2 linked regions of the Macaca mulatta genome follow. The protein of the gene in region 1 interacts with the protein of each later gene in a biochemical or structural test. Links are inferred from orthologs where the notes say so. Each region holds a gene or a part of one and is shown in the gene's direction. Other genes may lie near its edges. The genes, in order: TRDN and CASQ2.

Evidence for each region.
Region 2: the proteins of TRDN (region 1) and CASQ2 form a complex in vitro, tested with the Homo sapiens proteins (3 studies listed by BioGRID). The link is inferred for Macaca mulatta from reciprocal best matches to the Homo sapiens genes TRDN and CASQ2.

Annotation. Positions count from the first base shown.
Region 1 is NC_133409.1:28,630,553-28,635,014, reverse strand, and holds the start of TRDN (triadin), read left to right. Parts: upstream 1-1,538; 5' UTR 1,539-2,064; coding exon 2,065-2,086; intron 2,087-4,462. UniProt on the Homo sapiens protein: Contributes to the regulation of lumenal Ca2+ release via the sarcoplasmic reticulum calcium release channels RYR1 and RYR2, a key step in triggering skeletal and heart muscle contraction.
Region 2 is NC_133406.1:124,503,336-124,507,907, forward strand, and holds the start of CASQ2 (calsequestrin-2), read left to right. Parts: upstream 1-1,626; 5' UTR 1,627-1,949; coding exon 1,950-2,183; intron 2,184-4,572. UniProt on the Homo sapiens protein: Calsequestrin is a high-capacity, moderate affinity, calcium-binding protein and thus acts as an internal calcium store in muscle. Calcium ions are bound by clusters of acidic residues at the protein surface, especially at the interface between subunits.

The DNA of each region.
Region 1 (4,462 bases):
TGATTGGGAACCTAAGAGTAACATCAATACTAGGAATTTAGTATTTCTTTTCTAGAGTCTTATTCAAACTTTTTATTAAGTAAAATGAGTTTGAAAAGTTGAGTTTTTTCCTGTTCCAGAGCCTAATTTTATTTAGGATCTGACCCATGAAAAGTCTTAATGAGTTACATAAGATGTCATTCCTTCAGTGAACTACAATGAAAGATTATGAAAGTAACTGATGAATGGAGACATGAAGTGCTATGTTTTTTTAAACACTTGGAAGTACTGCAGCAGTATTTACTGGAGATTCCTTGGGGGGCAGTGTGAGGAGGGCTTTTCTCCTAGGATACCTCCTTAGACCAACCCAGAACTCTGGGAAGCTGCTCTTGAGGATTTTGTATCTTTTCATCCCACTAGTGGGCCTAATTTGCAGTGACCCCCTTTACCTGTAAGTCATAGTATCTGCAACAAGGCCTCACTTCTTGGGAAAGATAGCAAACTTGTAGTTAAAAGGCTCTAGGCCCAGTCCTAGATGTAGGAATTTGAATAAAATCATGAATGCAATCACGTAATCATTTCCTCCTTGTAAATTAAGATTTGTTACTAATTTATGTATTCAGCTGATATATGAGCAACTTTCTATTGTGCCAGGAATGGGGGCAGCAGATAAAGACAGAACCACTAACAGGGAGGAGGTAATTGCCTACAGAAATAGCTGTTGCAGTACTCTTCTGAGCCTGAATTTTAAAAATAACAAACATGGCTTTGCTTCATGATCTATGAAGTACCATATGAATTCAGGAGGTCTGAAAACAAAAGGTAGCAAGTTCAAGCTAAAAGATTAAACTACAAACATGTAGTAGGTTGAATATGAGAATAAAATAAAAGTGTAGCCCACCCTTGATTATTTACGGATTGGCTAGAGTTTATGATTATCAGTGCCCTTCGATTATCCTTTTCCTTCCAGCTACCAACTATTGAATATTTTTTTGCTCATTAACACCTGTCTAGGAGTGGGAAGGTGAAATGCTAATCAGACAATTTGGTTAATTGTTAGTGGCTGCTATAATCCTTTTTTTTTTTTAAGTTGAGATAAGGAAATATTTTACTAAAATATTGGCTGTGGACCACTAAACTTTATGTCACCTTCGCTTCCTTTTATTGCAAGGATAAATGCAGATATTTAGTTTTTAGTTAGGTATTAAAGAGAATTAAAAACATAGTAATTCATGAATCCATTGGTTTTCAAGTATCACACTATAAATTCACATTACGTAATTCTTATTGGTCAGTGTTCAGAAAATATTACTCTTCTACAGTATGACTACTTTAAAATAAATCTTTAGGATTTAATAGTTGCAATTTTAAGTGTAGCCCTATAAAAATAACTGCACTTGCTAAGTGGATTTGTATCAACAGGAACACAACTTTTAGAAAATTACTTAAGACTGCCCTCCCGTTTGCCTGTGGTAGACATTTGGGACCCTCCCCAAGCCAAATAAGGGAAAGAAGAATGTTCTGACCATTAAAAGCACTAAGAATAAATCTGAGCTCTCATGGATAAGATTACTTTCAACTCTTTACTTCATGTTTTCTGACATAGACCCCAAGATCTGTAATTGTCTTAGAGAAACTGTGTGGGCTTAGATGGTACTTTGTAGTTCATTTGGCTTCTTCTTCTTCTTTTTTTTTTTTTTTTTTTTTTTGCCTGTCTCTCTTTGGGGCTGGAGAGCTGGTGTGTCTCTGTGTGTGTTCCTCTAGAGTGCCAAAAAAAAAAAAAAAAAAAAAAAAACATGCTGAAGAGTCCTAGGGAGATGAGGCTATTTTTGTTTGAAGCTGATACTTCTAGCTGAGCCACAAGTGCTGCTTGGAAAGGGCTTAGGTTGATTCCAGGGGGAGAACTCTGCAGAGGAGAGGCAAAGTTCAACAGGACAACAAAGAAGCAGCAGAAACAGCCAGGAAAAAGAAGAGCCCCCAGGTTTTGACACAGAACCCTCTACCAGAGTTCTCAAATCCCCAAATAGTCTGCAAAGTGCTACTTGACGGGAACTTTTCAACTGACATTTACTTTTGACGACCACCATGACTGAGATCACTGCTGAAGGTATTGCTACCATTTTCCAATAGTATCAAGTAAGGAAAAAAAATATGCAAATTGACAGCCACATGGACTGTTGATGTGTCCATTTAAAACGTTGCTTTAAGGTAATTGTCGTGGTCAATGATTCTATACAGGATCTGAGAAGTGGATTTAGGAGCTGAGAGGCTGCCAGATCTGTATATTGGGGGAGCAAAAAGAGATTTCTCTTAAATTTTGCATGTGGAAACTATTCTCTGCTATACCAAAGGCCCCACTAGATAACAGTTGTTACTCACACCTCTATAAATAGCTATGGTCATGTAACATGATGGATGATATCTTATCCAGCAAAAATTACAAAGTTTTCAAGGATGGAGACCATGATGAACTTGAAATATTACAGTAATGCTTACTTAAACTTAAAAAGTAATTTGAAGCATTTTTACTTTATGATATTTTTAAATGGAGACCTTAAGTTTGTTTTTCCTTTCCTACTAGGGTATGTAAAACACACACACATATATATGATTTATATACAATTTAAGACATAAGTGGTCTCACAAAATTTGTGTTTATTTGACCGTTAATGGAAATTCAGAGATAAAGATTGGAATTCCACAAACTTACTGTGCATCAATATGATTTTTAAAATAAAGTAATTAAGTTTAGAATTCTGGTTCTTTTCATAAATTCATTCTTCATTTTCCTCTAAATGGTAAATTCTATCTTTATGTTACAATAAATATTTTCTGCTTCAATGCTTTACTGAAAGCTACATACTATAATTATAATACATATCTTCTATTTGATGGTTGCTAGTTATATATATTTATATTCCATATATGCTTCATATATATATATATATGTACATATTTCTTAGAATGAAGAAGCCCTTCAAAACTAAATTACTCTGAATACAGTCACAGTCTGGTTCTAGTTGAGGTAAAATTTTGGAGGTGGATCTAAAATTTGCTTCTGACAGCTGTAAGAAACTCAGACAGGTGGTGCTCTTAACAACTTCCAAGTTAAATGCTGTGCTGGTTTGCTTTGAATAATACAACTGAACTATAGAATATGTGTTTTTATTTTGAGGGTAGAAATCAGTATCGACACACAGTAATTTCTGTTGGAGATTTTCAGTCAATATTTGTAAGAATTGCCTTATTTGTACCTTACATTGAGAAATTCAGTCTGACACCCCAAATTAATAACAATTACTGAGAGAATTCTGCGTGTTAGGTATTTTGCTCAGAATGTTATGGGTGTTTACTTATTTAAAACTGACACAATTCAATTAAGGAGGCATTATTATCTCAGTTTGGCAGAAAAAGGAACTGTAGCTAACATGTTCTGTGACTCGCTCAAGACTATAGCATTACTAACATTTAAAGCCAGCCCCTTTAAATCTCATTTGTGTGTGTGTGTGTGTTTTCTTTTCTGTGAGAGGATATCAGGTTTACTCTTTACCAATTTTAGTTCAGAATTTGCTAACTAAATATAAATAGCATTTTTCCTATTCCTTAAATATTCTGTGTCATGTTGCTTTTAGTTTGCCTTAAAGAAAGCTATCTATAAAAACTTATTGCTTAGCTCTGCACAAGTTATTAAGATAGCTATGAGTGTCTTAATCTTCTGTTTCTCTACCTCTGCTCAGTGTTTGGGCTCCCAGGTGATTCAGGAGGTCGGTTGACTAAACCATCTTGGGCTTGTTTGTGGCTTATGTTCTGTAGAACTTGCAGTTGATTCAAAAGACTTTTTACAGGAAAATTCGTGATTATGAAATAGAACTTTTGTTTCTGCCTCCACTCTGCAGGGGTTTAAAAGGGCCTTAGAAGACCTTCTGGAATCACCCATAAAAGTAATTGAATTAGTAATAAAATTAAAAAGTAGAAATACCATCTAATTCCTGGGTGATGGTCATTTTCCACTTCCGGGTCTTAACAGTTCATAGGATCTATATTATCTAAACATCAATTATGTACTTTTTTTCATTTTCTGGAGTGATTTATTAATAATATTTCTCAAATGAAAATTAGACTGTCAACTCAAATGAAGTTATCTTTTAAGGTAGCACAGTCATTCTTTGAGGATATCCAAAGTTTTTTGCACACTGTTTTACTACACAGTTTCATGTTACCTTGGCAATTCTCACTTTCTGTGCCCTAGCTACAATTGCCTTCCTCCAGTCCTTTATAAAAGGTATACCTTTGTACAATGCCTTGGTACAGGCTATTTTCTGAGCCTGGAATAGTCTTATTTTGTCTCATCTGCTATATTTCTTTCTCAACCACTTATTTATTTATTTATTTATTTATTTATATATTTATTTTAGAGCAGAGTTTCTCTGTCACCCATATTAGAATGCAGTGGCATGATCATAGCTCACTGCAGTCTCAAACT
Region 2 (4,572 bases), on another chromosome or scaffold:
GTAACAGTTAAACCTACTTACATATTAAGAAAAGTGGAGCAAATTCTAAATAAAGGTAACCCAGTGAGATCAAGACAACTGGGAACAGTTTGGGGAGGCTGACCTCAAAAAGACAAGACACACATTGTTTCACTCAGAAATCTTTTCCCCCTTAAATTTCCTAAAGAAAGCAGAGATCTTGCATGCTTGCCACTGACTTGGAAAGCTAAGTGCACCTTAGCATGGATATTCTTGGCTCCATCTTTTGAAAACTTAGAGACTACACCATTAGAAAGAATGGAAGGCTGTCAAGGGTTTTAGTGATGGGTTCTTCAAGGCCCCAACTTCCTGCACATGAAAGTGTAGCATCAAGACAACCCCTCATCAGCCTGACTCTCAATGTAAGGCCCTCTGACTGCAGGGGAGCCTTGCCTTACTCATAGAGGCCACAGATCTTCTCTTTGCCCTCTAACGCCTGCAAAAGCTGTGTGTGACAGAGTACTCTGTCTTTTCAAAGCTGATTTATAACTGAAGGAGAACAGAAACTTGGTCAGAATCATGAGTGCCCTAGATGCCTTTGAAGAATGGAGAGACATGACTGGACTAGGGTTGGACTGGAAGAGATGCTCAAGAAGGTACTTAAGAAAAGGGGTGTTTGCAAGGGAATCACCCAGAGTCAGAGGCAAGACAACCAGGAGCAGCAGCTTTGAGGCAGGGTGGAATTCTTGCTCTGGCAGTTAGAAACGCTGCAAACTCAGACAAGTTGCTGTTAGCTCAGTGGTGGGATGAGCCCTGATCACTTCTGCCCCAGTTGCCTACTGGATTCAAGGAGAAAATGGACAAGAAAGGGTTCACAAACCATTCATATTAGAAACAGACAAATATCCATTATATAACCAATGTTCCACCAGCTCCAGTGAGAAGGAAGTACAATAGCTACCATTTTTGAGCACCTATTTTGTGCCATGCTTGTTCATCTATGTGTTTTAAACTTTATGGTTATTATCATCCCCACTTTACATAGAGGGGAACTGATCATCAGAGGGGGCAAGTGACCCTCCAAAGTTCATTAGCTGTTAAAAGGCTGAGTAGGGATTTGAGCTGTGAACCTTGTTTCATTTTATTCTAATGAGGACAGATTCTTCTGGTGTCAGCTGGGTTCAGCAGGGTGTCCCTGCACCCCTCGCCAGTGGCTGGCAGAGGATTTTTAAGAAGAGAGGATGGAAGGCAGAAAAAAACAGGAGTAGAACATGAGGAAGTCTACCTTGGGGCTCCGTTTTGTTTCATGTTGCAGTGAGGAACAGAGGGTGAGCAACCACAGGCTGAGTTACCTCCCTGGAGTGATTGAACAATTCAGTAATGCATGAGTGTCATTCTGTATGTTTGAACTCCTCATTTGCTTATTGGCATCATAGTCCCTTATCTCTCTCCCTCTCGAGTTTCTTTCTCTTCTTTGACCTTTCTAGCCTCCTTATTTCATGCGTGCACATTCTTGTCTTTTTCCTCCTGCCTCTTCCCTCTTCGCCATTCGGACAGACTGTATCAGCGAATCCCTCTACAGTGTCGTATCTAACTTTTTTATTCATTGCATGATTTATTTTTAGCCTGAAACAACTGCATCCTAAAAATGGAGTTCCTAATGAGACAGAGGCTGAGCAGAGCTATGTAAGGTATCTGGGGCTTGGCCTCCCAGCCTCCCTAGCTTGGCTGTTTTTCTACTCTCGCGCGTGCGTGTGTGTGTGTGTGTGTGAGTGAGTGTGTGCGCCTCTGCTCTTTGTCCTGAGCCCACGATTCCAGAGCTGGCTGGACCCAAGGAGGTGAAGAGTCACTTCTCCGCCCCAGGAAGGGCAAAGAAGAGAGACAAAATCAGCCTGTCTGCTCCCTGCTTGGCTCAACAAGGCCTCTAATAGTCTTCTGTCCTTTCTTCTGCACACGGCTTATTTGGGAACAAGAAACAAAAATTTTTCCAAATGAAGAGAACTCACTTGTTTATTGTGGGGGTTTATTTTCTGTCCTCTTGCAGGGCAGAAGAGGGGCTTAATTTCCCCACATATGATGGGAAGGACCGAGTGGTAAGTCTTTCCGAGAAGAACTTCAAGCAGGTTTTAAAGAAATATGACTTGCTCTGCCTCTACTACCACGAGCCGGTGTCTTCAGATAAGGTCGCGCAAAAACAGTTCCAACTGAAAGAAATCGTGCTTGAGGTAAGTAATCAAAGGGCGTGCTGTCCGCGCTGCCTCAGTGAGGTGCTGAGGGAATGCCTTTGGCCAGGGGTTGGGATATGGGAACGAGGATGCAGAGAATATATACTGAGGTCTGCTTTATTTTGGCCTCATGTGAATCAGATGCCCTTGTTGCACAGCTGGGGTGTGTGAACAATGAGGGGTGGGTCCTAACTCTTCAAATGAAGAGGACCAAACGTGCTACACTATGATGGGTCTGATGTAAAGTCTCTATGGCCCCCTTGACTTTTCAAGGGCCCTTGTCCCAGTCACTGTTTCCCAGATAGAATGCAGAAACTGTTGTTAAAACGGTTGGCTGAAATGAAATCCAGGGACTACTTGTGGATGTCACTCAGTGTGCCCACTCTGCTCCCTCAAATCTCCCTGTGATCCTGGAGAGACCAGAGTTACTTGACCTTGCCTCTCTCTGGGGGTCAGATGGAAAATATCACTAAATGACTCTCCTCTCTTGTGATTTGCTGTCAGTCAGCATTACAGAATGTAGTTGTGTGCAGATTTTCTGAGCGGCATATTCATTTATGTGATTTTTTTTTTTTTCCTCAGAAAGTTGTTGGTGTGACTTTAGGGCAGAGCTGAAGTCAGTTCTTATTTTATCCGCATTACATGGCCTGCCTGTTTGTAACCTGGCACTGGGGCCCATTTTCTAATCCTTTGCGAGTGCCCCAGAAACTATTCCTGCAGCTCCTCCTGGACAGCTTAAGATGGCTTATACTTTAAGAGTGCCTGAGGGTGCCAAGAATGCTAGTGGGCACCAAGATGCCTCATCAGTCCCCATGCCTAGCCCAGGCGCAAACCTGTGAAAAGGATATTTGAGAATTACAGTTTATTAACCAGTGCAATCAGAGAACTCAGGTTGATGAAACAGTTTGATTAACAGAATTATCGTATAAAACCCATGTGGATTTGAATTTTTTCCAATTGAAACATTGACTGTCATAAAATCCAGCAAAACTATCCCAAATACATCAAAAATATATTTCCAACCTTGAGTGCTGAATGTGGAAGTTCAGTTCTCTCTGTGGGTTGCAAGAAAAGAGAAAGCAGGGATAGTTATTAAGACTTTATTCTATAGAAATGAGCAAATCAAAGGCTGGAAAAGAACAGGACATAGAACTTAGCTGCTGCTTAGCCCATGAAACCAACACTTACATTGTATCTCCATTTCAAACTGCCATACTCAGTTATCAAGAGACATTGTTATGAAAACTTAATAGAAGGCATAAGGATTCTCCCCTATATGCTCATTGCTGTCCAGTTAGCCTAGAACTCCAAAAGATTGCCTTTGGTTGGCCAGTACAGTCAAGGACATTCATTTCTGATTCTAATTTTTTAAAAAGAAATCTCTTTCTATCATCTATCTGTCTATCTATCTATCTATCTATCTATCTATCTATCTATCTATCTATCTATCTATCTCTAGCTCCCCCAAGTATATATGTCCCCAAAGACTATGCAAAATCATGAACAGGAACTTCCCCTGGGCTTACCATCCCTCCAGACACCTTTGATCCAAGAGTGCCCTTTCCACAGTTGGGTGCCAGCCCAGCAGAGACCGATAAGGAAAAGTTCACGACAGGAGTTAATTTGATGCCCCTAGGCTGCTAAAGCTGGAGTGAGGCATCATTAGGAGAAAAAGAACACAGAACTTGAAATCAGGATATCCGGATTTAAGTTCTGGCTTTGTCTCTACTAGGCATAGGACGCAGGGCAAATTACGTAATTTCTCAGAGCCTCATTTTCTTATCTATAAATATAGAAAAATAATAACTATCATGCAGGCTTAAGAAATGATTAAATAATAATAATGTTAATTAAATGCTTACTAAGTACAGGGACTGTCCTAAGCACTTGGTATGTGTTAGCTTGCTTAATCCTTATTCTATTAAGTAGGTACAGTTACCAATTCCATTTGATAGATGGGGAAACTGAAGCAGAGAGGCTAAGTTGTCCAAGGTTACACAGCTACTGCAGATGAAGGCAGTACGTGATACCTATACTGCGCCTCTCCTGAAATCAGTGCGAAAATGCCCAAAGGGCTTCTGGGTAGACTGTTTAAGACGGTTTCAAGAGTCTTCCTTAAACAGAGTTGCTCAGCCTCTGGGCCCGGGTCTGATGATGCCAGCTGTACCACCAGCATGGCCGAGAAGTACATGGCCTGGAGGCACTGCTTATGCAAAAGTCCAAACCGAGGCGGAGGCCTGGGCTCCATTAGTGAAGGTGAGGAAGGGGCAGGCCTTTGTTGAGATACTTGTCAGGTGCAGCATCAAGGGAAAAAATGGCTCCAAGAAGTCCATGAGTGGAAAGAGTGAACACGTCTTTAAACTTTTGTCATCGTCAAAATAACTATTTT